Linked DNA regions of Elephas maximus indicus. The protein of the gene in region 1 interacts with the protein of each later gene in a biochemical or structural test. Links are inferred from orthologs where the notes say so. Each region holds a gene or a part of one and is shown on either strand. Other genes may lie near its edges.

What was found.
Region 2: the proteins of RAB11A (region 1) and RAB11FIP4 form a complex in vitro, tested with the Homo sapiens proteins (2 studies listed by BioGRID, with this or other methods). The link is inferred for Elephas maximus indicus from reciprocal best matches to the Homo sapiens genes RAB11A and RAB11FIP4.

The regions. Positions count from the first base shown.
Region 1 is NC_064831.1:55,954,348-55,962,467, forward strand, and holds the start of RAB11A (ras-related protein Rab-11A), read left to right. Parts: upstream 1-5,097; 5' UTR 5,098-5,243; coding exon 5,244-5,283; intron 5,284-8,120. UniProt on the Homo sapiens protein: The small GTPases Rab are key regulators of intracellular membrane trafficking, from the formation of transport vesicles to their fusion with membranes.
Region 2 is NC_064837.1:26,117,559-26,124,790, forward strand, and holds the start of RAB11FIP4 (rab11 family-interacting protein 4), read left to right. Parts: upstream 1-4,149; coding exon 4,150-4,308; intron 4,309-7,232. UniProt on the Homo sapiens protein: Acts as a regulator of endocytic traffic by participating in membrane delivery. Required for the abscission step in cytokinesis, possibly by acting as an 'address tag' delivering recycling endosome membranes to the cleavage furrow during late cytokinesis.

The DNA.
Region 1 (8,120 bases):
ATCCAGTATTACTCAGTTACCCCTCTGTTCACAAATCTTTAATGATGACTCCATGTCAGAGCATCTACCAAAGTGTTCAGAGGCACGCTAACAGGTGTCACATGGGAAGAGAGTTCTGTGATCTCGTGAATCTGGTAAATGCTGTGTTCAATACAGGTAAAAAAAAAAAAAAGATTTCATCAGAGCAGAATTTCTAGAGACTTTAAATTGTCACTGCACTAAGGGAGTTCCTAAGGAGAGAGACAATGTGTAGCTTTTCTCAATGCGTTTGACCATGCAACCCTTCTTTTTCTCAGTGTCTTACAATATATTTTTATAGTATTGGCTTAGTTGTTTGTAGCTGAAATCATTAGCTTTCATTTTCAGTATAACAACAACTACTGGATAAATTAGTATGCAGTAGTATGCCATTAAGACGGATGTTGGAATTAAAAACATTTTTGGAAAAAAGCCTGGTCTGAGCCTGGGTTGTAATCCCTGGGGCAGGAATCGGGGTCCTGTCTCTGGTTTCTTTCTTTGTGTGTGTGTGTGTGTGTGTGTGTGTGTGCTTTAGATGAAAGTTTATAGCTCAAGTTAATTTCTCATACAAAAATTTATACACATATTGTTATGTGGCACTAGTTGCAATCCCTATAATGTGACAGCACACTCCTCCTTTCCACCCCGGGTTTCCCGTGTCCGTCCAACCAGCTGCTGTCCCTTTCTTCCTTCTCATCCTGCCTTCGGACAGGTGCTGCCCTGTTGGTCTCATGTATCTGCTTGAACTAAGAAGCACACTCTTCATGAGTATTATTTTATGCTTTATAGTCCAGTCTAATCTTTGTCTGAAGAGTGAATGGTTTTAGTTCTGGGTTAACAGAGTGTCTGGGGGCCATGGTTTCGAGGGTTCCTTCAATCTCAGTCAGATCATTAAGTCTGGTCTTTCTATGTGAATTTGAGTTCTGCATCACACTTTTCGCCTGCTCCATCAGGGACTCTCTGTTGTGTTTCCCGTCAGGGTAGTCATTGGTGGTAGCCAGGCACCATCTAGTTCTTCTGGTCTCGGGCTGGTGGAGTCTCTGGTTTATGTTGCCCTTTTGTCTCTTGGGCTGATATTTTCCTTGTGTCTTTGATGTTCTTCATTTTCCTTTGTCCCAAGTGGGTTGGGACCAATTGATGCATCTTAGGTGGCTGCTCACTAGGCTTTTAAGACCCCTAGATGCCACTCACCAAAGTGGGATGCAGAACATTTTCTTAATAAACTTTGTTATGCCAATTGACCTAGATGTCCCCTGAAACCATGGTCCCCAGACTACAGCCCCTGCTACTCTGTCCCTCAAAGTGTTTGGTTGTGTTCCGGAAACTTCTTAGCTTTTGGTTTAGTCCAGTTGTGCTGACTTCCCCTCTATTGTGTGTTGTTCTTCCCTTCACCTAAGATAATTGTCTACTATCTAGTTAGTGAATTTCCCTTTCCCTCCCTCCCTCCTCTCCCTCGTAACCATCAAAAAAAGTTTTCTTCTGTGTTTAAACCCTTTCTTGAGTTCTTAGTAGTGGTCTCGTACAATATTTGTTCTTTTGTGACTAATTTCACTCAGCATAATGCCTTCCAGATTCATCCATGTTGTGAGAATGAATATTATGAACACAGTGGAACACTATGCAATGATAAAGATCAGTGATCAACCTGCGGATTCATCATTGATCTTTATCATTGCATAGTATTCCATTGTGTCGCATAGTATTCCATTGTGTGTATATACCACAATTTGCTTATCCATTTGTCTGTTGATGGCCACCTAGGTTGTTTCCATCTTTTTGCTATTATGAACACTGCTGCAATGAACATGGGTGTACATGTATCTATTCATGTGACAGCTCTTATTTCTCGAGGATATATTCCAAGGAGTGGGATTTCTGGATCATATGGTACTTCTATTTCTAGCTTTTTAAGGACAAGCCAAATTGATTTCCAAAGTGATTGTACCATTTTACATTCCCACAAGCAGTGTGTAAGTGTTCCAGTCTCTTCACAACCTCTCCAACATTTATTATTTTGTGTTTTTTGGATTAGTGCTAGCCATTTTGGGGTGAGATGGTATCTCACTGTAGCTTTGATTTGCATTTCTGATCATGACCATTTCCTCCTGTCGTCTCCCAGCCCAGCCTCTCTACCCTCATACAAGTTGCCTGAATGTCTTCTTTGGTGAAGTGTCTGTTCATATCCTTTGCCCATTTTTTAATTGGGTTTTTTTTTCTGTTGTCGAGGAAACCCTGGTGGTGTAGTGGTCAAGACCTTGACTGCTAACCAAAGGGTTGGCAGTTGGAATCCACCAGGTGCTGCCTGGAATCCCTACGGGGCAGTTCTACTCTGTCATATCCCGTCGCTATGAGTCGGAATCAACTCAACAGCAATGGGTTTTTTGGTGTTGAGGCTTTGCAGTATCTTGTAGATTTTAGAGATTAGACCTTGAGTGGGTATGTCGTAGCCAAAAAATTTTTTCCCAGTCTGTATGTTGTCTTTTTACTCTTTTGGCAAAGTCTTTTGATGAGTAAAAGTGCTTCTTTTTTAGGAGCTCCCGGTTATCTGGTTTCTCTTCTGGTATTTATGCATTGTTAGTTATATTTTGTATTCTGTTTATGCTATGTATTAGGGCTCCTAGCATTGTTCCTATTTTTTCTTCACGATCTTTATCGTTTTAGATTTTATATTTAGGTCTTTGATCCATTTTGAGTTAATTTTTGTGCATGGTGTGAAGTACGGGTCTTGTTTCATTTTTTTGCAGATGAATATCCAGTTATGCCAGCACCATTTGTTACAGACTTTTTCCCCCCATTTAACAGACTTTGGGCCTTTGTTAAAAACCAGCTGCTCATAGGTGGATGAATTTATGTTTGGATTCTCAATTCCATTCCATTGGTCTATGTATCTGTTGTTGTACCAGTACCAGGCTGTTTTGACTACTGTGGTGGTGTAATAGGTTCTAAAATCAGATAGTGTGAGGCCTCCCACTTTGTTCTTCCTCTTCAGTAATGCTCTACTTATCTGCCAATCCTTCTTTTTAGGAAGACTATTGACCTCAAAACACGCATTGTAAAAAATGACTTATGGGGAAAAGTTCAAAAGTCTTCTGGCATCAACACCTTGCTCAACATATTCTTACCATCTAATTTCTCCTGCTTCCCGAAATGAGTTTCCTTCCTAGAGTTTTCCTTTAGAGGATGGAGCAAGTTCCACCTCCTCCAGGGCGTTCTCCCTAATTATATCAGTCTCTCTGAACTTTGGCACTTATCACAAGAACTCTCACTAGTTATTCCTACTGAACTGTTTAGTTATTGATATTCCCTCTTTCTTGGGCCCATCTTGTCTGATCCCTGAGTAGGGCTGGGACTGTGACTTAAGAATAATCTGTAGTAGCATGTAATAGGTATCCCGTAAATACTTGATTGTTTGTGTAACATCCTGCCTCTCCCCTAATGTGGATAGTGTTCACTCCGTGCACAAGGCAGTACCTAGGACCTTAGATAAACCTTCTATCACTTTATACTGGCAGAGAAAGCACTGACAATGGCACTGCATTAGTTTCATATTGCTGCCATAAGAAATGATCACAACTAGGTAGCATAAAACAATACAAATTTATTATCTATGGTTCCGTAGGTCAGAAGTTTGACATGGGTCTCACTGGGCTAAAATCAAGGTGTCAACACACTGTGTTCCATTTGGGGCTTTAGGGGAGAATCCGTTTCCTTGCTTCTAGAGGCCTCTTCATCCCTAGGCTCATGGCCCCCTTCCTTCCTTCACCTTCAAAGCCAGCAAAGGCTGGTCCATCCTTCTTACATTACATCGCTTTCACCTCTTCTGCCTCTCTCTTCCACTTTTAAGGACTCTTATGACTACGCTGGGTGCACATGGTTAATCCAGAATAATCCATCTATTTTAGGTCAGCTGATTAGCAACTTTAATTCTTCTTTGCCATGTAACCTAACATATTCAGTTTCCACGGATTTAGGGCATGGACTTTTTTGGAGGGCCATTGTTTCTGCCTACAAGTACCCTTCCCCAAAAGTCTAAATTGAGAGTTTGTATATAGGCAGTATGTACGGCATGTTACAATAAATGGGAAAGAGCTCTGTGGAATTACAAAACTCTCAAATATAAGGAGGCCTGCTGTGATCCTTGGCAAATCACTTCAGTCTTACTATTCACTAAAATGGAAAGTAAGCCACTAAAATGGAAATTGCTGTCCTTTGCTCTTCCTGTTAAATGATTGTGAAAACGGGCTTACTTTAAGTTAGAGGCTGACAAATAGTAAAGGCTCACAAAGTTCTGGATGAATCTTGATGAGGAGGGTGGGCCAAGTCCTCTGAGTGACATCTGGAGATAGTTTGAGAGATTTCCAGAGAGGAGCGAATAGAAGAGCCTGCCTGTTCTTTAATGGAGCTGGAGATAGAAAATTCCAGCAAAAGGAATTTCACTGAAGAAGCTTTTGAATTAGGGTTTGAGGCTAAAGAGGCTAAGTGAAGAAGCTCCTTCCTCACAAGATCCTCATGTAGAGGTGGCAGATAGTATGGAACTGAAAGGGATAATCTGTGAGGTCTCCAGAGGCAAAGATTGTGTTTTGCGAAATTCTCATTCTATTTAGTTCAACGCCAGACCTAGCGCAGTTGTACAACAACGACTTAGTGAATAAACGAACTATAATTGTGATCAGAAAAAAATTAGCCGTTGCAGGTTCCACCGAGATTTGAACTCGGATCGCTGGATTCAGAGTCCAGAGTGCTAACCATTACACCATGGAACCGCCACACTTATGCAGCCGCCTTCAGCTGTCTAAACCTTAGAAAACCCCGCCCCCATCCACAAACCCACTATTCGGAGGCGGGTCTGATGCGCTCCCAGCGCCGGTTCCGGCAAGGCAGTGCGAGGTGCGTATGGAATGAACGAGAGGCCATTAACGGCGTGATCAGCTGGGCATCCAGGACTCGTTTTCCTATTTGAGCTTCCTTGAAGGACTAAGAAACGGAAGGCTGTCGCGACCCTGGCCGCGTACCACGTTTCTGGGCTTGGAGGCGGGGCACCGCCTCCCCGGAAGTACTTCCCCTGAGGGGCTGGGGCCTGCCGGAAGTGGCGCAGCGGCAGGGCGGGGCTCTTTACCGGGTCCGGCATCTGAAGCTCGGCGCTCGGGTTACCCCTGCAGCGACGCCCCCTGGTCCTACCGACCGATACCGCTGCTGCTCCCGCCCCTTCGCTCCTCGGCCGCGCAATGGGCACCCGCGACGACGAGTACGACTACCTCTTCAAAGGTGAGACTGTGGGCTTTCTCACTCTCTACCGAGTCCCCCCTCGGGGGCCCGGGACACTCCCGGGGGACCCGCGCGCGGGCCACCCCTGTGCCGACATGGGCCTGCCTCAGCCCTTCCTCTCTGTGCCGTTCGTCCTGCCGTCTCCCAGCCCAGCCTCGCTCCCCTCACACAAGGGGTCCCCACCACACACCCATCTTAGCGACCTCCCGTAGGCCCCCGCTAGCCCCGGAACCCCTCCCTGGGCGTCCTCCCGGCGACTGCCTTCTCCCTTCTCCCGGAGGGTTTTCCTCCTTCCTTCCCCGGGGCGCCCAGGCCCCTTCGAAGGGCCCCTCGTGCCATCTCCCTTTTCTGCCTTTGCGCCTCCTCCCCCTCAGGGTACAGCGGTCTCCGCGCACAGCCCCTCCGGGAGCCCCTCCGGCAGGCCCTTGGCTTCCCTTTTCGGCTGTCCTTCGGCCCGGGGACTCCCACTCCAGGTCTCCTCTGCTTCTCTTTAGCCCGGAGCCGGCCGGACGCCCCTCCTAGCCGGCTTCCCTCGCCCCCCCCTCCCCCGGCCAAGCCCTGGTAAAATCTGAGCGGGTCAGTGGCCTCCACCCGCACCCCACCGCTGCCCCTGCTATTCTCGCGGTCAGTAACCTCCCGGGCCGCCCCGCGGACTGGCAGCTTCTCCTCCACCATCCCTCCCTTCCACGTCTCTGGTGCGACCCCGGGGGGCGGGCGGGGGGCCAGGGGAATTGTGTCACCCAGGCGCGCGCTTGTCGCAATGACCCGGCACACGGATAGGACTTCCCCCTCCTGCCGGCCCTTCCCAGCGGCATCCAGCCTGGGATAACTCGTGAGAAGGGGCTGCGGATGGGTGGTGGCTGTTATCCTTGCCAGACCTGAAGGCCCAGTTCCTGAGCAGGAAAGGTTGTGCGCTGCACAAATACTAGCGAGCTTTATCACTATGGTCTGGTTGCTTCCTGCTGCAACGCTGGGAGGATCCAATCTTTTGGTGTTTTTAGAACAGGAAGGAAAGAGCCCTAGTTGGCTCCATACCTTTTCCAAAAGGTGGTGGGTAAGGGGAGGGGAGGTTGCATGCTTTTTGGGTCATATTAAATATTTATTATAAGGTAGAGAAACATGTAGTGCCCTTGGACAAAACATTTTGGAGAGTGGGGGAAATGGATACAAAGAATTGCTTATTAGTCCGGAAAGAATCCAAATAGCTTTTTTTTTTTTAAATCATCAAGGATGAAGGATACACTTTTCAATGAGAAAATAGTACAGTAAATGCTTTTTTGTTTAGTGAATGTTCTCTCACGCCGATGCGCTTTCTCTGCTTCTGAATTAGGAGGGCAGGCGTCAGTAATGTGCTGAACAAAGATCATTACTGGGGAGGAAGAAGCCATTGCTATTAAAGCTTCACAGTGGAGGGTGGAGTTTAAACGGAGTGTTAGGCAGTGTTTCTGACTTTGCCATTGGGTGCTAGGAATGACTGACTAAAGGAGGCAGGAAAAATTTCTTTGCTTCACCAATACTTCGCAAATCTTATTATACTAGCTACCCTTGTCATCACTTACTCCTCTGGGCCAAAATATGGCCCAGAGGAGTATAATAGTGGGGTTCCAACCTTCGGTATCCACCCTCGCCCCCATGCTGGAAACGCATTTTCAGAGAAGAGGGTCCTTAATGCATTTTACAAATATAAAGGGGAAACCTAGGTTCCTTTATGTACTGCTTGCTGAAGGCATCTGGGGAGATGTGAAATTACTTTGTGAGTCCCTAGAGACTTTGGGGGGTTTAATCATTAAAGTCATAAAGGTTTGTTTTCTTAAATAAGGCACAGTGGCAGAGGGCAGCTAGCTACCTTTGAAGTAATTAATTTAGAATAAGACAGACTGTCCAGAGCATTTCTCCTGTTTGGTCTGTAACTTGAATGATGGGCATAGAAATCCATTAACTTTTTAAATTAATAATTTTAATTGTCCTGAATTGGTTTAAGGAATTTAAACTTTTTTTTAAAGGAAATCTTTAGTTTTTTTTTAATAATTTTTACTGAGCTTTAAGTGAACGTTTACAAATCAAGTCAGTCTGTCACATATAAGCTTATATACACCTTACTCCATACTCCCACTTACTCTGCCCCTAATGAGTCAGCCCTTCCAGTCTGTTAAGGAATTTAAACTTTTGATATCAAAATAATTTTGCAATTAGACCACCTGTCTAACAATGATTGAGGGCTTTGGAATTGCACAGACCTTGATTCAAATCCTGGCTCAGGTCGTATGTTTGCTTTGTGACCTTGGAGAGTTAACCTTCCTGAACCTCAGTTTCCTCACCTGTAAAAAGGAGATAGGACCACTCTATTGTAAGGATTAAATGAGACTGAAATTTTAGCTTCTGTGAGGTTTCGATAAATGATAATAATGAAGAAGTTCTTGTCAGTTTTTTAAACCTTAAATCGTTATAAATATGTGAGCATTTAAATATTAGTAAAGAAACTCAAAACTTGGAGCTTCTAAAGTATTTTGTTTCTATGTTATATTTTATGTTAAGATTTCATTTCGTTGCACATTCTGCTGTTTTAAAATAGTGTTTTAAAAAACGTGGTGATGAGGATTTTCACTTTTTTAAAGTTTTTACAAGATGTGAATCAGTTTTTTAAAACTTCAATGCTTATTATTTAGCCATATTCTTTTATAAATCATATTTAAAAAATATTTTATGTAATGATTATATTTATTAATCAGTATAGTAATGATATTTTAAAGGGAAGGAAGAATAATTTCATTTTTAAATGGTTTTATTCTACAGAGAAGCTGTATGTCTGTTAGAAGGCTTACCTAGCAAACTAAACA
Region 2 (7,232 bases), on another chromosome or scaffold:
AGAAGGTTCTGGATGGGCACCCACGAAGAATAAAAGCTCCTGTTTCCTGGGTGCCCCCTCCCCAACAAGGGTTTACGCGGCAAAGAGGAAGCACAAGGTCTCGAGATGCCCTCTTGCACCCCAGAAGCGCCTCAGTCCAACTGTGGTCTCGGCACAGCCGTGGGCTAGGTCTTGGCAGCTCCGTCTCCAAACAGTCGGCAGCTGTGTCTGCTGACAGAGACATATTTTAGGACAGGTGAAGAAGGAAAATAAGTTCACACGACCTTCCTCCGTTCCAAAGCGATAATTATTCAGAGTTAAAAAACCAGTAGGCCGTGAACAGGAGAAACTGTGAATCCTGTCCCACTTCCAGACAACATGCATGATGAAGTCGTGGTCCATAGGTTAAACCGTAGAAATGTTTCCTCTTTGAAACTGGTTCTAAACAGATTCATACTGACTGACACACATGATAACCACCAGGTGCCAGGTACTGTGCCAGGCCCTGGCCAAGGCGATTTATATTCATTTCTTACTGAAAAAAAAAAAAAAACAACTTTCAGGAACTCTGTAGGGTAGGACTACTGCCCCCACTTTACAGCTGGGAAGACTGAGGCTCAGAGAAGCTAACTTCTCCAGAGTGACAGAGCTAAAAGACCTTGGTGCCCAGCCCAGCTGTTTTGAGTTCCAAAGCCTGCCTCTTATTAATCTTTAATGATGTCCACGTGATATTTATATCGCATACATTCGTTTTCTGTGGCTGCTGTAAGGAATGATCACAAACCGTGTGGCTTGAAAGAAGTTTATTCTCTCACAGTTCTGAAGGCCAGAAGTCCAAAGTCAAGGTGTCAGCACGCTGCGCTCATTCCTGAAAGTCTCTTTCAGCTCTGTGGTGGCTCCAGGTATTCTGTAGCTTGTGGCCACATCACTCCAATCTCTGTCTCGGTGGTCACATGTCCTTCTCCTCTTCTGTCTGCCATCAGATCTCCTTCTGCCTCGCTTTTATAAGGATATTTGTGGTTACATTTAGGGCCCTCTGGGATGACTCAGGATAATCTCCCATCTTGAGACCCTTAATCACACCTGCAAAGACCCTTTATCCCAATAAGGTAACACTTACAGGTTCCAGGGGTGGTGGTGGTTGTCAGGTGCCACTGAGTCAATTCATGGCGACCCCATGTGATGCACATATCTTTTGCGGGGGGGAGGGACATTTTTCAGCCCACTGTACCATATTTGTCCATTCCTTAATTTATTGCTGCACGGACCTGAACTGTGTGTCTGCTGTGTATCAGACACTGTGCTAGGAGCTGGAGAAATAAGCACCTCATGGTTGTTCCTGTCCTGGAGGCAACCATGACAAAGTGAAAACAGGTGTGACTACACCTTTCCTACGTGTTTTCCAGCTACTCCTGTGACCAAATAACAGGAATAAGAGGTGATAAAGATAATCATAACAACAGCCAGCACTTACCTACCAGCACTGTTCTGGCATTTATTAACTTATTTGACCCTCACAAAAGCCTTATGTCATAGGGGCTATTATTATCCCCACCTTACAGTGGGGGAAATTGAGATGCAAGGGGATTAAGTAACTTCCCCAAGGTCACACAGTGAGAAGTAGCACAGACAGAATTTGAACTCAGGCAGTCTGGCTCCACAGTCTGTACTTTTCACCTGTCTGTACAGAATGCTCAGGAGCACAGGGGAGAGGCAAGCAAGGAGGTGAGGGTGGGTGTTGTGGTCAGGGGAGGCTTCCTGTAGGAGATGCCACTCCTACCGAATCTGGAAGGACAGGAGTTGGCCAGATGAAGTGGAGTGGGGGACAGGGAAGGAGTGAGGATCCCCAGGCAGAGGGAAGAGCTGCGGTGAGAGAAAATGGGCCTGAGCTGACTGTGGAGATCAGGACCCCAAGGGCAGGCAGCAACCCCAGCTTCACTCCCCACCTCCCTGCCTGAGGACTTGTTGGATCCCCATGGGCCAGCCACTTCCCCCTCCCACCCCACTTGATCCTCTCCCTACTTACCCTTCCCCACTGGGCAGGTGGAAGGGGATGTAACATCCAGACTCTTGCATACATTAGTTCTAATCTTCAGTCATCCACCCATAAGGGAAGTACTGTTATTATCCCCATTGTACAGATGAGAAAACCTAGACTCAAAAATAGTGTATCCTGCTGAGGGGCATCCAGCTAGCAGAGAAGCCCGCACTCTTCCCAGCACCTCCCCTTCACCCCCCTCCTGCATGGCCTCCCCTTTCCTGCTTTCTCACATTTTTTAGACTCTCTGATCCTCAAACCCACAAGTCTCTTCCCAGGAGGTGCTGCCTTACATGGCTCCTGGAAGAATTAGTATCTCAAGGGGAAGGGATAGCTAAAGACCAGGTTTGCCCCTGGAGCTGGGGCAGGAAAAGGGGGCAGATCCACTGTCAGGGAAGTTCCAAGGTGGCCCCTGTACGGGGGGCATTTTGGGGTTGGGCAGGAAGACCTCAGAGGTGGAAACTGAGGCCCAGAGAGTTGAGGCCAGCAGCCCCTGTGGCAGAACTAGGCCCCAGCCACCCCTGAGCTCCCTGTCTGAGTCCTCACACTGCTTTCTACTCTCTGCTCCTGCAGGTGGTGGGGGAGGGGGCATGATGTTGAGGACAGCAGGCCCTTAACCACTTAATTCAAGGGCCTCCCCGGGGCTGGAGACCAGGGGCATGAAAGTGATTAAGACATATTCTGCCCTGGAGTGGTGGTGGAGATGGGCATGCCACCAGGGAATTATAGAGCTAAGGGGGCATCTGGAAAAAGGGCCCAGAACTCAAACTGGGAGGCAAGGTGGAATGCCATCCAGAAAGGCTTCCTGGAGGAGGAAACCTCTGCATGGAGCCAGAGAGCATAAATGAGGGTCAGTTCAGCCAAGGCCTGTATTCAGGTCCAGGGCAACTGGTGCCATAAGGGTCTGATGTGTGGAGTGATGAGGTGGAGGAAGGAGAGCCAGGCTGGGTGCTACAGGGCCCTGTGAGCCCAGGTAGGAATCCCGCCAGGAGGAGCTGGGGCAAAAGCCCAGCTGAGCACTGCTGGTTGAAGGGGGGAAGTCCAGGCTGTAAGATGTGCAGGCTGCTCTGCCTGCCACCTGGCCTCCTGCAGCCCTGTGGCCTAGCGGAATGGCCTTGCCTTTCCCTCCTCTGAGGAGCCCCACCTGTCCCTGGTCTTCTCTTTACCTCCCCTGTCCCAGGGTCCAGTTCCAGGCTAAGGCCTGTTCCCTGCTCTTTCTCTCTGTGCCCTTCCCCAGACCCCCTCTGGCCCTGGAAGATGCTGGGCAAAGCGCTGTCTGGAACGCCTGTGTGGTCCTAAAACCAGGGGTGTCTGCTCTCTCCAAGGCTGCACCGAGAAGGTTCAGAGTAGGCAGGGGTATGAATCCTGACCCTGCCTGTCACAGCTTCGTGGCCTGGTGTAGGTAGTCGGACCTCTCTGGGTCTCACTTTCTCATCCTTGAAAAGAGGGTAATGATCGAACACACAAAAAAGACTAGGGAGGACCTAACGAGATAACTGCGGAGGATCGGGAACATAGTGGGTGAGCGCTTGGCGAATACGAGGTACCCACAAAGGGAGGGCTAAGTGAGGACGGGCTGACCGTGAGGTGCAGGCCCTGAGGGCTGAGAAGAGGCTGTTGGACGCCACGGCGGGTGCTCCGGGGGCTCGGACCTCGTAACTAAAGTCTCAAAGCCGGGCAAGAGGGTGGGTGGGCGCGGCCGCTGCGCAGCTCTGAATTTCCGCCACGTCCCGCGCTCGGAGGCGGTCGGGGCGCGCGCCCCCCTCCCGGCTTTGCAGGGGCAGAGAGCGGGCTTACGCCGAGGGAAACCGAGTCCGCGGCGGCGGCGGTGCGCGCGGGCGGCCCCACGCGGGGAGGAAGCGCGCGGCTCCTTTTGTCTGCCGCATCTCCTCCGCCCCCCGCGCGCTCCCGTCCCCGCCCGCCCGCCCGAGCGGCGGGGGCTGCGGCGCCGCTGCTGACACGGATCGGCCGCCGCCACCGCCGTCGCCGGGCGGAGGCTGCGCACCGCAGAGCCGCGAGGGCGGGCGGCGGCGGCGGCCCCGGAGGCGCGCGGCGATGGCGGCGGCGGCGCAGGGCGGGCGGCGGCGGCGGCGCGCGGCGCGGGGCTCGGGCTAGCTGTGCGGCCGGCCCGGATGGCGGGCGGCGCGGGCTGGGCGGGCGCCCCCGCGGCTCTGCTGCGCTCCGTGCGCCGCCTGCGCGAGGTATTCGAGGTGTGCGGCCGTGACCCCGACGGCTTTCTGCGGGTAGAGCGCGTCGCGGCGCTGGGACTGCGCTTCGGCCAGGGCGAGGAGGTAAGGGGCCACAGCGGCGGGAGGGGGCACCCGGGTTCCCCGCGAGCCTTCGTTCCCCCCACCAGGCCCTTCGGGTTGGCCTCCTCCCAAGCCGACCCTTGACACCACGACCACCCTTCCTCTCCCCCGCCCCCCCCAGCTTCTCAGCCTTTTCACCTGCCCCGGACAAGCCTCTCCGTCCACAAACCCAAGGTGGTGGTGGCCTTCTTCCTGGGAGAAATCCCTCCTCCCCCTGCCCTGTCAGACTGCCTGTGCCAACCTGAGCTGAGGACCTCGGACCCCGGGGTATCCCCTGCCCTGCCGGACCCCAGCCTGTGCTGCGGGTGTCGAATGTCATGCCCAGGGTGGCCTCCCTGTCCACCTCCCTCCCTGGCAGAGCTGGTCCCTCCGCCTGATCTACAAACCCACTCAATGTGGGGTGGGGAGGAGCTGTCAGAATCTGGACTCAGGACCCCCCTCCCCATTTCTACCCTGCGGAGGCCAGGACGCAGAGGTCTGGAATTCCGTGACTGGTAAATAGGTACTCTCCCCACTGGGCCTAGCCGAGGGGTAGAGGGGGCCCCTAGGGGCACCCAGCTGCTTTGGTGCCTTTGCTGCCTGCACCCACCCTGCCTGGAACACAGAAGGAGGGGTCTGTGATGGGGCCACCCTGGATTCTTGGTAGTGCCTGGTGACCCTCCATTCAGGCTCTGATAGGCAGGGCTGGCTGGCAGCTGACCCTGTTGGCTGCAGCAGGCTGGCCAGAGCCAAGCTTGCCGGGTGGGAGCTGAGCAGAGCAGCCCCCACGGGTGGGGCTGGGTCTGTTTGGGGAAAGCAAGCACAGTGCTGACTGTTAGCAGGACTGCAGTCATGGCCAGTGAGGGGTGGGCAAAGAACATCAATAAATGCCACAACAGACCAATGTTTTCAAAGCCACCTAAGGCTTTGGGTCTTGCATGGGGAGACTGGGGCCACTGGCCTCAAATGGGCTCTATTTGGTACTGTGTTCCTAGGACAGCTCGAGCCTGGTGTTCTAGAACATGAGAGAAGCTGGGAATGGCCACATAGGGCCCGTACCTCCCTGTCACGTATCAAGTGGGAGGTGATGGACAGTCTCTCCACCAGCACCTGGGCATGGACCTGGGGGTGCCTGAGAGCAGAAGGTGGAAGGGAATGAGGCAGGTGTCAGGTGTGAGAACTCAGGTACACCAGCCCAGGGAGCTCATGAGGCAGTTCCCGTTAGAGCCTGCCAAGCCCTTTTAAGGGCCACAGCCACTTTCCCCCTCTGCAGGGCTTTGCTCACGGGCATTTCCTGCAGCCACCATGATCCCTGTCCTTCCCCCAAGGCCAGCCAAGCTTCTTCCCACTCTTCCGTAGTGACTCCCAGCTGAGGCAAGGAGCAACCCCCAAGCATGGGGCATGCCCCCAGCAAGCCTGGTCACCTGATCCCGAACCTGGACAGCTCCTGTTGTTAGACTCTTCTCCCTCACAGACTCTACAGCCCAAACCTGCTTGTCACTTGGTCATCCCAGTTCTGCACGTTGACTCACATGGTTCTCTCTTCTACGTGGCAGCCTTTAAATGTTTGAAAACAGCGCTCATGCCCCCTTCACTCCTTCACACCCACTCACTCCATCTACCCTTAAAAAAAAAAAAGTTACCATTAAGTCGATTCCTACTCATGGCGACCCCACATGTGCAGAGTAGAACTGCACTCCTTAGGGTTTTCAAGGCTGTGACCTTTCAGAAGCAGATTGCCAGGCCTTTCTTCTGAGGCACGTCTGGGTGGGTTTGAACTGCCAACCTTTCAGCTAGTAGCGCCTAACCATTTGCATCACCCAGGGACTCCCATCTTCCCTATTCCAGGCCAAGTTCCCCTAGCTCCTGAAGCCCCCAGCCATTTCCATATCACCTGCAGGGGCCAAACTGCTGGCTTCTGGCCCTGGAGCTGCTGTGGGCTAATTTTGTGACTCAGTTTTCCTAGTGATATAATGAAGGGGCCAGACCAGGAGACCCCACCCCCACCACCAAGGACTGTTCCAGCTCCAACACCTCACACGTAAACGTGGGCTCAGGGTACAGCTGCCTTTTGGCAGATGTGTGGTGCATCACACACTCCACTCCTGTTAAGCTTGTGGGCACCCAGACTCCCAGGGCTCCTTCTCCGGAACCACCGCCAAGCCAGAGACCCCCCCACCCTGGGGCAGGTCAGTGATGTCTTTTTTTTTTTTTTAAAGCATGCTCATATATTATTAGAGAAGCGGTTTATATGGGAAACTATAGACAAGCAAAAATAAAAGTATTGCTATTCCATCTCCCAGGGAGCAGTGCTGTGACACCCTAGCCACAGCCTTCCAGAGCCGTTTCTATGCGTATACAGAGGTTTTCTTCATAAAATGAGATCATACTGTGCATACTGTCTTGTAACCTAATTTATTTGCCCGTGTACTAGTCCCGCTTTTCTGCTCCAGTAAATTTTCATCTCGTTTAAATACACAGACCCTTATTCAGGTTTCTGCACTGGACTCCCAAATGTCCATTTTTGTTGTTGTACTCAAACCAGTTTTCTCTCCGGGACTGTGCAGTGGGTATATGTGGTTATCGTGACCCTTAGGTCTCTCTTTTGTAGCACAGTTCTTTTTTTTCTTTTTTTCCTTTTAATAGCCCTGTTTTTGAAGATAATCAGGCCTGTTGTCCTGCATCAAAAATTCTTCATCTGAGCCTGTTACTTAACCCTTATCCCTGTTAAATTCCATCTTGCTCATTTCATCTCACTCTATCTGCCAATAGAGAGAATTTCCAATCGTGCCTCTGCCACTCAGACGCTATGCTGCCTGCAGGTTTGGAGATGCGAGTGCTTTGTGTGTCTCAGTCCGCAAGGCTGGTTAAAGACGCAGGGCAGGACCACGGACAGGGCCTGGCGCTGGTCAGGGTGGTTCAGCTCA